Linked DNA regions of Drosophila melanogaster. The protein of the gene in region 2 purifies or fractionates together with the protein of the main gene of each other region. This does not show direct contact. Each region holds a gene or a part of one and is shown on either strand. Other genes may lie near its edges. The genes, in order: Rrp6 and spn-A.

What was found.
Region 1: the proteins of spn-A (region 2) and Rrp6 purify together in Drosophila melanogaster (affinity purification with western blotting, with the first as the bait; one study listed by BioGRID). This does not show direct contact.

The regions. Positions count from the first base shown.
Region 1 is NT_033777.3:14,881,122-14,889,169, forward strand, and holds Rrp6 (Rrp6), read right to left. Parts: upstream 5,126-8,048; 5' UTR 4,822-5,125; coding exon 4,714-4,821; intron 4,640-4,713; coding exon 4,458-4,639; intron 4,346-4,457; coding exon 2,941-4,345; intron 2,703-2,940; coding exon 1,776-2,702; intron 1,684-1,775; coding exon 1,603-1,683; 3' UTR 1,377-1,602; downstream 1-1,376. Other genes in the region: CG3631 (uncharacterized protein), read left to right, coding at 1-414, 475-675, 732-939; CG33331 (uncharacterized protein), read left to right, coding at 5,461-6,489; CG33332 (uncharacterized protein), read left to right, coding at 6,729-7,613, 7,674-7,838. UniProt on the Drosophila melanogaster protein: Catalytic component of the RNA exosome complex which has 3'->5' exoribonuclease activity and participates in a multitude of cellular RNA processing and degradation events.
Region 2 is NT_033777.3:30,053,287-30,058,944, forward strand, and holds spn-A (spindle A), read right to left. Parts: upstream 2,752-5,658; 5' UTR 2,654-2,751; coding exon 2,576-2,653; exon of another isoform or gene 2,513-2,575; coding exon 1,580-2,512; 3' UTR 1,410-1,579; downstream 1-1,409. Other genes in the region: Jasper (JIL-1 anchoring and stabilizing protein), read left to right, coding at 1-178, 258-1,019; Rpp14b (ribonuclease P/MRP subunit p14 b), read left to right, coding at 2,850-2,881, 2,963-3,269; Rpp14a (ribonuclease P/MRP subunit p14 a), read left to right, coding at 3,717-3,748, 3,854-4,157; CG7950 (uncharacterized protein), read left to right, coding at 4,173-4,649. UniProt on the Drosophila melanogaster protein: Plays an important role in homologous strand exchange, a key step in DNA repair through homologous recombination (HR). Binds to single and double-stranded DNA and exhibits DNA-dependent ATPase activity. Underwinds duplex DNA.

The DNA.
Region 1 (8,048 bases), about 15 Mb from region 2:
GCAATGGTATCCGCGGGAAGAGGTCATCGATGGCATGATATACAGTGGCAAGGATCGCCACACGGCGGAAGTATATGCCTTCTATCTGGGCGCCGTGCTCGACTTTCGATGGACGCCCATAGTGGTGGGTCGAGTGGTGAACCTGAAGAAGGAGATATATGCCAAAGGCGATCCGGAACTCCAGCAAACCATAAACATCGAAACGGACGAGGATGGCAGGGAGAAGTACTGCCTGTTCGGGAAGTGTCACTACTGCAACGAGGAGGAGACTGTTTGTGGCGATGAGCGGCACAACATTGAAGGTGTGCTCATATATATTGTTCCGGGTACGTTGGCTAAGCGGCGATCACCGTGGCAACGCACCTACAAGGATGACAAGCGGGCGCCCTGGGAGGACGATATGACCTATTGCAAGTGAGTTCCACACTTCAACTTCACTCTATAAACTTCTAAATCAAAAATATTATTTTTCAGATCGTTGAAAAATAAAATGGAGACCATCCGCCTGCTGGACCTTATAGATGCGTCTATTTTCGACTACCTAATCCAAAATGGAGATCGGCATCACTACGAGACGCGGGAAGAGCGCGTGGTGCTTATAGACAATGGAAAAGCCTTCGGAAACCCGAACAAGGATCACTTGGACATATTGGCGCCACTCTACCAATGCTGCCTGTAAGTCTTCGACCAATTTCCAAATACCTATAACTATTTACGTTTATACCTTACAGTCTGCGAAAGTCCACGTGGGATCGCCTGCAAGTCTTTTCCGGCGGCGTACTCACGGAAATCATCGATCGACTATCCAAGCAGGATGCTCTCTATCCCCTGATTACGGATAAGCATAAAAAAGGAGTGGAGCGACGACTTCTGGTGGTCTATGCTGTTGTGGAGCACTGCATGGACATCGAGGGCGACAAAATGTTCAAAACTCTGTAGTTTCAGCTCAAGATTGGGGCTAATGGCCAGCACTAGAGCTTTAGGAACTCACTTTCCACATCCTACTTAAGCTAAAGTTAGATAGAGAAATTATCGTATTATTTTAGTCCATGTTTTACTTCTGTATTTCTTCCAAATATTTAAATGCCCGAAACAGGTTTTTTCCTATTTTAAATTAAGTTCTTTTGTCCTTTCTTGTATTGGTTTGAATGCTAGAAAAGTTTTCGAAAAATTGAGATGCCATCCAATTAGGAATTAAATCATACAAAATTCGTTGTGACGAAATAAGTTTGAAATTTAAACCTATTACCATGACATTTCCCACGTCCCAATTATTATTTGGTTTTCCCATATTTTTTCAATGACCATCTCTTAAAACTGTTCTTAAATATTGAACTACAAACCGATCCATAACAACATATCCGATAGTCTAGTTTAATGAATAGTTACGGTTGTTATTTAATAGGTAATATTTTAGAAAATTGCAAAGCTCAGAAAAAATAGTTTTGTAACTTGAAAAGAATTTATAAACAATCAAAAATAAACACTTGTTTATTTCTTCATCAGTTTCATCAATCAGTTTTCGTGTTGCTCGCATTCTTACTATTGAATTCACATATATACCAGTTATGTATATTTTACAGACTTCGTCACGATTGCAGTTCATTTTTTGCCCTCTTTTCTTACATTACTAAATGTAAAAAGCTTGTTGAACTGCTTGTTGTTCCGATTGTTGGGACGGTTCTAAAAAAAAAAACAAGCGTTATAAATGTTTAGTGAAGAGATCGTTTCAGTAAAAGCTAAGCCAGCTTGTTAATACTTTTCATAGCACTCACCTTGCCGCGAATTTGCTGCTTGATTTCTGTGCCCCGGGCTCTTTGCGCTCCTCCCTTGAATTGCCGGAAGTCCACGTTCTTGTAGTCAAAGTTGCCTGTACCCTTGTGCTGCGGAACCTGCTGACTGGAGCTCTGCGGGTGGTTTCCTCGATTCTTGGCCTTGAATCCGCGCTGGAACTGATTTTTCTTTTGCTTGCGGTTGTTCTGTGCCGGTGATGGTTTCGGTGGCTCTGTGGCTTGCCTTTCGATAGGAACCTCAACGACCTCATCATCGCTTTCGCCTAAAGCCTGCTGAACTTTTTCGACTGGTTCGATCTTTACCGGCGGTTTGGTTTGTGAATTCTCGTCCTTGCGAGGTCGCTTGCTAGCAGTCGGCTGCTGTTCCGGATCTGTTTTCACGTTCGCTTGTGGGTGCTTGCGCTTCAGTTGTTCCTTCAGCGGGACGGAGTACATGTCATCATCCTCCTTTCCGATGGCGTGTGCCTCCAGCTTAATGTTTTGCTCCACAGTTGGGGCTGCTGGACACAATTGCCTCTTTTGCAACTCACTTCGCTCCCTGGCCAACTGATCGGCCTTCAGCTGCACCATCAGAGGTAGGATGGCGAGATAGCGTTTGTAGGGCATACGCATTGTCTGGCTCTCCTTGCGAAGATGGGCCCAGCGCTGTTCCTCTTCTTGTGTCGGCTTGGACTGCTTTTCGAACAGAGCCATGGCTGGTGCCGCTAAGGTTGGATCTACTTTGGCAACCTCCTCCTTATTGGGCACCTCCAGTTTTCCTGTAGTTGAATTACGTTTCAACAGCGTTGGCAGGTCGTCGCGAATCTCCTCCAGTTGCGAAAAATCGTGCGGACAGTAGAGCTTGCTGCTAAAGTCTTTGGTCGACGGAGGCAACGCTGCCTGTGTACTACTGTGGGCTTCCAGGATCGGCTAAAATCGTAAGTAAAGTCAAGAACATTAAACATTAGATATACCACCCCAACACTTGGTAACATTAAACCTATTTTAGTTGACCTGCGGTTGTGAAATGAATTGAACTATAAGGTGAATTCAGAACATGTTCTTCATTTCAATGTTAGTTACAGTTAATTGGTAATGAAAAATTATCGGTATAGGCGCCAACGTTGATCGAGTTGCAAGCGCTGCTTGAAACCGCCAAGAAACTCACTTTGACCAGCGGCTGATCGCGCGCCTTGAGGACAATCTGGTGAAGCGTGTGCAGCTGTTGGCGCACCAGCGGCGGAATGGGATTGCAGCAGGCGAGGATTCCCTGCATCTCCCTTGGAAGACTCTCAGCGATTTGCAGCATCATGTGATTGGGCAGCACATAGCCGTAACTCTCGTCCTCTGACCGCGCCGTCGCATCGCGCCACTCGAAGATTCCGCGAAGTGCGTACAGTTGCCGGTTGTCGAAAGAGCGCTTCGTTTTTCTTACTAAATCCAAATGGGATTCTGGTCCGATGTGAGGCTTATTATAACGCTTCTTGCAGACATCCGTGCTCTGTTGATAGACACTGCCCAGCAGACCTGGTTCGGCATGCTGCTGCAGCAGATCGTTTGTCATCCGTCCGTAAACGTATATCAAAAAGTGGGTATCCTGACGAGCGTAGTCCACCAGCTGCTGGGGAAGCGGTCTCATCCGCCAATCGGCCAGTTGCAGGCTCTTGTCCACATCCAAGTCCAGATAGTGCTTAAGCAAATATGCCAACGATAACCTTGCCATATTCAAGGCTTTGGCAGCCCGATGCGTGTCGAACATGTTGACGATATACAACGATAAGTCCCGCTGAAGCCACTCAATATCCAAATCGGCGCCGTGCAGTATCTTCAGCTTCTTGGGATCGGTGAGTACCAAATTTAGTATATGCATATCATCGCGTAGGATCAGGGTATCAAAAATATAGTCTTTGCTGCGAGTAGACATCTGGACCAGGCAAGTGATGCCCATGAAGGTGCGATACGAGTGGTGCTCCACATCTATGGCGATCTGGGGCGCTTGTCTCAGTTCCTCCAATGCCTGCTTCAGTTTTTCCACCGTGTCAACCACCATTAGTTCGGTTTCTGCCATCAGAGCTGGAAGCACTGGCTTTTGTTTTTGGAACTGCTCCTCCGGAGGCTGAAACTTAAGCAGCTCAAACTCGTAGGGATGCAAATAGGATTGGACATTGCCGGCATCATCGTATTCGGGCAGCAGGGCCAGCGGTTTAAGAGAATTAGGTTTCTCCTTGAGTCTTGGAACAAACGGATTCTGGGCACTGTTATCCACCGGCTCCCTAAATTGCGTCTGCGGCCGAACGATGTTCTTGGCGGTGAAGAGACGAGCCGAAACCATGCTGCGTTGGGGTGTTCCTGTCGTTCTGTTCCAGCTGCCTGCCTTTGGAGTCCCTTGGGTTTGTGGGGAAGCTACTGCGGGCTCTATGGATGTGGAGCTGCTCATCACGTCCACCTGGGCCTCTACGACCTGTTGTGTATTTCTTCGCAGACCACCTTTAATGTCTAGATTAGTCGTAATGCGCTCGAACAGTACGTCGTTGCACTCCTGCACCATCTCAAACTGCTCTTCCGGTTGGCGTCTGTTTAAAGAATAAAGATCTATTGTTATTTACAGATACAGGTACCAACTTTGATTTCAATGGCTGTGCTGTATTTTCAACATTTCGAATAATGTCATGGTTAGAAGCTTACTTTTTGATGTCGCCCTTGATGTCCTTGGAGTGCAGCACGTTCCCGATGAGCGCCACCACCCGTTGGGTCAGGTCTTCCATAACACGTGCGTAGCCTGGATAGCTTAGGTAAAGGGCGCGGGCTGTTCCTTGTGGGAAAGCATTAGCGGCTTTTGTGGCGGCGATTGCATTCTTGAACCCTTTCTGGAATGTCAGAGCAGAACACGTAGGGATTGGATTGAAATATACTTATGTACGCTGGCTGAATTGCTACCCACGTTTGTGAATGCCTCAACATCTTCTGAAGCGGATTTCTTTGGCGGCTGGTCTGCTTGGGCCGATTCCTCTTTGGCCTCCTGGTGAACTCTTTTCGGGGTTCGCGGCATGTCTGTATAGTGTTTCCTTGTCGAATGTCTTGTGTTATTTTCGTACAAATTTTTTGTCGTTTTACAGATTGTGGAAAATGTGCGTGTTTTCTCTTCTTCTTTTTTGAGAATAACAACAGCTTGAATTTGGAGTTTGTCAACACTACCGGCGGCGAAATTTGATCACTATATAGCACTAAAACGGTGCTGACCGCAATCGAATTAAATCGATATGAAGGTGTATTTTACAAATGTTAGCCAAATTTGGAATGGTGATATTTCGTTATGTTAAACCGTAAACAGAACCTGCTTTGATGAACAATACTTTACAAATTCTTTTTAAAAGCAAAATGTTATTATTATATTGAACTAAATATATATTCCTTTCAATATAAATTAAACTGAATAAATATTTTCTTTGTTAAATATTTGGTCTTTTCTTTTATTTTTTCAAGAGGGCGCTAAATTGTTCAAGTGAAACCCTGAACAAAATTTTCAGCCAGCTGATTGCCAGTGTGTACACCCCTCCGGCGCCGGCGAAAAGCGAGGAGCTTGACCGAGAAGCATCAACTCCATCCAGAAGAAGTGGAGTTACGTGCTAAAAAAAAAGTAATTATAAAGCCTAAGTTTAGTCCAATTAGGAGGTAAAACACGCACAAGATGCTGGACCTATACAGACGCACGGTGGCGCGGTTTCCTCTGGGCAGTGTCAGCTATATGTTCGCCTACGGATCCGGCGTCAAACAGCAGGAAGGCTATGGAAAAGTCGGCAATGGAAACAACCTGCGTCCTCCGCCGGGAACCGTTGTGGATCTGGTCTTTTGCGTTCGTGATGCTAGGGGCTTCCATGCGGAGAACCTGCACCGTCATCCGGACCACTATTCCGCCCTTAGGCACCTGGGACCGAACTTTGTGGCCAAGTATCAGGAGCGTTTGGGTGCGGGTGTCTATTGCAACACGTTGGTGCCTCTGCCAGATGTGGGCATTACCATAAAGTACGGCGTGGTGTCGCAGGAGGAGCTGCTGGAGGATCTGCTTGACTGGCGGCATCTTTACTTGGCAGGAAGGCTGCACAAACCAGTGACGAATCTGGTCAATCCTTCTGATAATCCTCCCCTCAAGGCTGCGCTGGAGAGGAATCTTGTATCCGCGCTGCAAGTGGCTCTGCTACTTTTACCAGAGAAGTTCACTGCCTACGGACTTTTCCACACCATCGCCGGACTGAGTTACAAGGGCGATTTCCGTATGATTTTCGGGGAAAACAAACAGAAAGTGCACAACATAGTTAGTCCGCAAATCAATGACTTCTTCGCCCTATACCAACCCTCCCTGGGACAACTTTCCGACTATGTGGCGGTAAACATGAAGGGCCAGGAACCAGGGAGCCGGAAACCAGCCATAATCTTCGAGCAGGACAAATCCTCATCGGCTACATGCCAACACCTGCGACAGTTGCCCCGAGAGCTTCAGAAGCGATTGCAGCGAAATGCCGCCTGTCGTGGCGACTACACCCAGGTGGTGAATCACCTATCCATGGCCTCCCAGCTTCCGGAGGTGCTGCAGGCATCCGTCAACGACATTGTGTGGCGCAGCAGTGTCACGCAATCGATCAAAAATATTCCCAGTGCTGGCATTCTCAAGTCATTGGCGTATAGCTATCGCAAGGCTCAAAAGACATTCGCTGTTTAGGTTTATTTTTCGGGTTAATCCCCTGGCTGCCAATCATTCTACCGACTAAGTTGTCCCATCCAGCTGCATTTTGTTAAATACTTTTAAGCTTTAAAGTTGTTAACTGCAATATAATGTTTAGCCCAATCCAAAGACCTGAGTTTTCTTGGGGATTCTCTCTTTTCACATCCAATGGACCTCTTTATAACCTCAGGAATATCTTGGTTTACTTATTATTTCATTAATTGTATTTGCAGATCATGTCCAGCGACGACAATAGTAGTGATAGCAATTCGTCCAGCGATGAAAGGCAAAGGAAACGGAAGCTTAAGAAGCACAGCAAAGATGTGGACAAGTCCAAAAAGAAGAAGTCGAAAAAGCACAAGAAAGAAAAGCGTCGCCACAAGGAGAAGAAACGCAGCAAGCATGAGGAGGAGCCACCTGTGCCTTACACGCAACCTCCACATTTAATTAATGCATCTCCGCCAGATGTGGCTACAAACAACGAAGATTCCTTTGGTCCCGCTTTACCGCCGCATTTAAGGAAGACCCAGCAGCCGGAACTCCCTGAGCAAAGCCAACCAGCCCCACAACCGCAGGCCATGATAGGACCCGTCCTGCCCAGCAATTTGACCCGGGAAAAGTCTCCTACTAAGGAAGCGGAAGCTGAGGACGATGATGACCTAGCTGGCACCTTTGGTCCTCTGCCAAATGCCAGTCAAGTGGCTCTGGAGGAACGTGCTTTGGCACTTAAACTGGCAGCTCTGGAGGGCGGGGGATTGGGTACATCTACAGACCAAGATGTCCGCGAAGAGTGGATGCTTGAGCTGCCAGATGTGGGACTGAAGAGCGGCCTTGCCGCCCTGAGCAATATGAAGCGCACTTTCTATCAGGGAAAAGAGCGACCCGACTTTAGCGATCGATCATCCTGGACGAAGACCCCGCAGAGTGAAGCGGATGCTGCTGCATCGGGCCCAAAGTCGCTCAGTTCGAAGGAACTCGAGCAAATGGCACAGGTCAAGTACGAACAGCAGCGGGATGACGAGCAGGAGAGCATGGCCAAGAGGCACAAAAAGAAGCACAAGCGAGAGGAGTCCCTAGTGGAGCTACATCAAAAAAAGCTTAGGAAAGAGCAGAGAGAAAAGGTACGAGGAAAAATATTTCTTAAAAACATAATATGGATATAATATTGTTATAAATTTAAGGAAAAAGAACTGGCTGCATCGGGTTCCAAGCCAGAACGAAGACCTTTTAGTAGGGATGTGGACTTGAAACTTAACAAGATCGACAAGAATCAGACCAAGCAGATTGTAGACAAGGCCAAGATATTGAACACCAAGTTCTCCAGGGGTCAAGCTAAGTATCTGTAGGTTAAATGAACCATAAAAAATCCAGACGATCCGTACCGCATGTTAATCTTAAGCAATTATGTAATTTAATTTAGAAATAATTATTATAAAGGCAAAATAATTTGTAAATGACATTTTTGATTGCTTAGTCACCTAGCTTAAACTTTCGTTTAATTGGCATAAATACATTGGTAATATGAGTACAAACACACAATTGGGCAATACCAGCTA
Region 2 (5,658 bases):
CGCGGAACTAGCACCTCCGCCGGCCAAGCGAAGGGTTCCCACCGAGGGTCTGGCTACCGCCGCAGCCATCCCCGCTGCTCCGGCTGCGGCGACCCCCACCTCCAGCAAGAAATCAGTGAAGAAATCCAAGCCCACGGCTGCAGTAACTCCGATTCAGAAGCGGTCGCGGCCAGTCAATGTAAGTGCGATGCAGAAATACCACCAGACATAAACTAGTATGAATTACGATACATTGATTTCCATTTTTGCCCAAACAGAACATCCGGAACGAGATGCTCATGGTGTACATGCCCACAGCCAAGTGTTTGGGAATCGTTATAAACTACAAAAAGCCGGAGAGTTTCGAAAGCGCCGCTGCCGAGGAAGCCTGGATGGAGAACGCCCGCAAAGAAGCCTTGGAGCTCAAACTGAAACTAGAGAGCGGCCAAATCAATCCGGAGTCCATGCCCGATAGGATCGTGGTGGAGCCAACACGCAGCGAAATACCCAAGCAGGAGGCTTTGCGATTCATCGAGGAGCTCATTGAGCACGAGGATGCCCTCTTCATGGAGCGAGACTTCATCCAACTTTCCCAGCAGCTGCGCGAATGTTTGGGCCTGCGGCGCGCCAATGTGGGCAAATGCCTGGAGATCCTCGAGCAGTTCAAGGAGGTGGAGTTCACCAAGTTGATGCTGCTGCGCAATCCGGAGTGCGTGGACATAATGCGCCGACTTCGCCGGTATGTGGGCAATCTGGAGCTCTGGAAAATGGACCTGTCCGACGAGGTGGAGTTCAAGGAGAGGGCGCAGACCATACGCAAGGTCTCCTCTGGCATATACGATGGCTTCAAGAGTCTCTTCAATCCGGAGCCCGAGAGCGAGGACAACTTTTGGATCGACTTCTGCGAAAAGGTAAAAATCTACAAGACCTATACGAAAAATATCAACGAAAACCTTCGCGTCGGGATGAACGAGCGCGGATATAATAGCCTGGTTTTGGCCAAGGAGGCCGCCGCTTCAGCCGGATCGGCTCCACAGTAAATGATCGAGGACCAGTTCTGCTGGACCAATTACATGATAAGGTAGGATGGGAAACCGCAAACCGCTGAGTTGAAACACATCTTCAAGAATCCTCTTTCTTGCAGTTACTCGTAAGCGTTACAAACCAGGCAACTTAAAGACCGTGCTTTGGATGACAAAGTTTTGATGAGCCAAGTGGGCTATGCTTAATTCTAGGTTAAAAATTCAGCTAAATTCCTTAATTCTGTTTGCCTGCCAGGTGCATGTCGTGTTACGCTGCGCTGATGGGGCTTTTCCTGCTGCATCCGCTTATTACCAGACTAAAAAAAAGGTTTTTGCTTCGAAACCCCTAAATATTTTCTAAGTTTGTAGATGATTTGAATAATATTGAATTAAATATAGATGGTACATACAATTCGCAACGGCTGTTTTATTTCGTCGTTATCCTAAACATTCTAAGTAAACATTAAAACAAAAAAAAAAACAATCTACGAAGTTTAATTCTTAGTCTAGGGATAAGTAATCATTAGAAAGTTAGGGAGCTCTATTCCTAGCATTAATTAACCTATAAGTGAGCACAATTAGCTCTCCCTGGCGTCTCCTATTCCATCCGGCAGAATGGCGAACATGGCCTCCGATTCCGGCAAACAGGGCGAGTCGTAGATCTTGCAGATGCGGGTTTCGCCTTTACCCTTGCGCAGATACAGCCGCGTGGTTGAGGAGTGGGCCATGATGTGCCCGCCAATGGGCTTCTTGGCATCAAACATGCCGGGTGCGCCGTCCAGCGAGGCAGTAACCTGGTTAGTAATTACCACAGCCACTCCGAACTCATCGGCCAGGCGTTGAAGCATGCGCAGAAATAAGCCCAAATGGTTTTGCCTGGCGGCCAGCTCCCCGCGACCAATATAATCGGATCTGTAGAGCGCCATGGCACTGTCCACAATCAGCAAAGCGTATCTGGACTCAAAGAGCATGCCCGCCGCCATCTGGATGAGCTTGGTCTGCTGATCTGAGTTGTGGGCACGGGTGAAGGCCACATTGTCCAGCACCTCGGATTCATTCAGTTTGTACCTTTGCGCGATGGCAGCCAAACGCTCCGGACGGAAGGTGTTCTCCGTGTCGATGTACATGCACTTGCCCTCGCCGCCCTTCTGGCTGATGGGCAGCTGGCAGGTTACTGCCAGAGTGTGGCACAATTGGGTCTTTCCGCAGCGGAACTCGCCAAAGATCTCGGTAATGGATCCCGTCTCAATGCCGCCGCCCAGCAGTTTATCCAGCTCCTTGGAGCCCGTGCTCAGCTGCACGACATCGGCACGCATTTGATAGAAGGTGCGAGCACTAAGGAAGCCCAGAGGCACCAGTTTGTTAGCCTCCGTGATGATCTGCTCCACCTTGCCGCCGCCCAAGCCGGGAATGGCCATCAGTTGCTTCTTGGTGGCATTGGCCACCGACTCCACGGTGTGCAGACTGGCCTGCTGGAGCAGCTTGATGTCCTTGGCCGTGATGCTGCCGCCCTAGGAGGAGGATATCGTAGGGAATGCCCATAATAATCCTGGTCGAGATCGCAGCCTACTCACTATTAACTTAGTCACGCTGAGTGGACCTTCTTCCTCCTCCTCTTCCTGCTGTGCCTGAACATTCGTTAGCTTCTCCATTTGACAGTTTCGAAGTTAAATTTGACTATTTGTTGTTTCGAGTTTCGTTATTTAAATTGCACGTCTTGCGTGAGAGAATTTCGACAAAGACTGCGCGGCGCGCAATTCACTGCAAAATCAGTTTGCCAATCGCCCCGAACGCACAAAACTCTATCACTACAGAGGATCCCGCTTAAAAGGAACGCGCAAGATCACCATGGCGAACTATTACTATTTCGACATCAAACTGTGAGTAGAATGATGTTCTGCGGTCATTAATATAAACTTGGTTGTTATTAAATTCAGTAAATATATTCATTTATTTAATAGTAAACTTCGGGATCCGACTGCAGTTGCTTTGACCCCATCTCTGTTTCGAAGCTGCGTTCTTGACGCCCTGGACAGTTTCTTCTGCGAGGAGAAACCCACACTGGAGATCGTGAAGTTCTGCGCCCAGCAACATCGTGTTATCTTTCGAGTGCCAGAGCAACTGCACGACATGACCCGCATATCCATTGAGCTCATCGGTCACTACCAGCAGATACCCTGTCATTTTGAGATCTTGGAAACATCCAAATCATCGCTGGACTTTGAGAAGAGCATTGAAAAGACTGTCGCGGTTGTGTCCGATGATTAGGACTAGCGAATTGTAATACTCAGTGTAATATACATTATAACCGTCATGAAGAATTTGAATTTGAATCCTAACTGATTTTACTGTGATCTGATTTTTTTGTCATTCACAACGAACTGAAATGATTTCTGTGATGGCTACTAAATGAGATTAAAAAGCGGAAAAACCCCATAAACTTGTAACCATTTTAATAAAATTGCATTTAAGTAGTTCCAATAACAATTTAAATGTTTTAATAAATGGCTATAATTTTAGCTATTTTATAACTACTCATGTCCGTTGTGAGCCGAGCTGGCATCTCTGGCGGCGCACAGCTGTTTGAGAAGCAGAAAGAAACAGCAAAAAAGGGGAGTAATTACATAAAAAAAACACACTGACCGGCAACTTTTGGACGACTTTTCCCGAAGATTCCGCCAAAAAAAGAGGGGCACTGGCACTTGCACCCAAAGCATGAGTGGTTACCAATATCTGGACGTGAAGATGTGAGTTCCGGGCACTCAGCCCCGCTCCTTAAAGCCCCGTATTTCCCACGTGCGCACGTGCATCATGCAAATATAATTAAGATAATTCACGTTTTTAATCGCCAGAAAACTCCGTGATCCAGACTCCGTGACTCTGACGCCCGTATTCTTCTGTGGCTGCATCCATAGCTCCTTGGCTAGTATTTTTGGCGAAATAGGTGGCCAGACCATACTGGAAATTGTGAAATTTAGTTCCAGCCAAAAACGCTCCATTCTCCGGGTGCCCGAGAACGTCCTGGATCGCGTTCGCGTAGCTATAGCCCTAATAGGATACTACCAGGAGGTGCCCTGCCATTTTCAGGTGCTCAGCACATCCCGAAAGCCCTTGGATTTTGAGGAATCCCCCGAGGAGTTTGTAGCATTTAACTAGCATTACCGCATCAGGATGTCATTCTCTTACTGCAAGGAGTACGGCAAGGACAAGGTGATTTTTGTGACCAAGGAGGACCATGCCACGCCCAGCACCATCGAGCTGCCGCCGCCGGAAAAGCCGGAGGGCGTGATCACCAAGGACGGCAAGATCAACTGGAGTTGTCCCTGCCTCGGCGGCATGGCCACCGGTCCCTGTGGCGTCGATTTCCGTGAGGCATTTTCCTGCTTCCAGAACAGCACCGCCGATCCCAAGGGATCGGACTGCTACGATGCCTTCACCAAGATGCGCGACTGTTTCCAGAAGTACCCCACCGTGTACAACAAATCTGGCGGTGATGACGACGACGATGATGGCTTGAGCGAGGCCTTGGACACGGATGCCGGTTCAGTTGGTGGCCAGAACGCGGATCCGCTGGCGGATGTGGGCAACAACGGAGGCGGCGATGAGCTGGTGTCCCCCAATAGCAGTTCAGTGGTGCCCAAGGCTTAGGTGGGAGTACATAAGATAAGAGCTAGGTGTGACTTCGTACAAAATAAATAAAACTTGTCATTAACTTCAATCCATCCCCACACTATCGATCGTGACTGGGAAACATTTATCAGCCAGATAGTCTGGAATTAACAGAGATATTGTTGAAACAGCATAGTGCTTATTTCAGAAATAAAAGATACTCGTTTTCTCAATTAAATTCTCGCTTTTTTTACAAATAGCGAAATACACAAATAAAAAAATGTAAATGTATCTTGTATTCACTGTAGCCAATAGGCCGTTATTTCCATATGTTGTGTATTTCTGGTATATACTCGAAGCGCTCCCACCTCGTTGGCAGTATTTTTCCACCCTGCTGCCACACTGTTTACGAAGCAGCAATCAAAGAAAACGGAAAAATAAAAGCGTATTAAGATTTCGTGTGGAAAGGAAAAATGCTGTAGGCGCAGTGTAAAATGCATATATTGCGGATAAATCGCGTTTGTGAGATGCTTAAACGCGAATTCAACATCAAGTCGGTGCAGAACTTCAAGGTGCAATAACAAAAATATCCGAATTATCGAAAAAAGCAAAGTGCAATTGGCCAGTTGAGACTACAACCACAATAACAACGACAACAACAGCAACAGCAGTGAAATAATAATATAACCTTGTGTTTTGTTTTTTGTGGCTCAAAAATCAGATATACACAAAGTTAATCGAGGTGAACGGTGTAAAAGTGATTAAATAATAACGGTTTAACAGGAAAACAGAGTTATAGTGTGTGCGAGTGTGTGTGTGCGTAGTGACAACAATACAAACGCAGAAACCAATACAAGCGCACAATAGTTTTCATACATAGGAAAACAACGAAAGTAACAGCGATAAATAATAGAAAACAACAACGAAGAGTCTCAAAAAGTGCTGGAAAAACTCGCGATAAGGAAAACAGGAACCTCCACATCGGCAGATCTTTTGAATGCTGCCGCACTTTGAAATCCGGAGACACAATGGTTTCATTAATTGACAC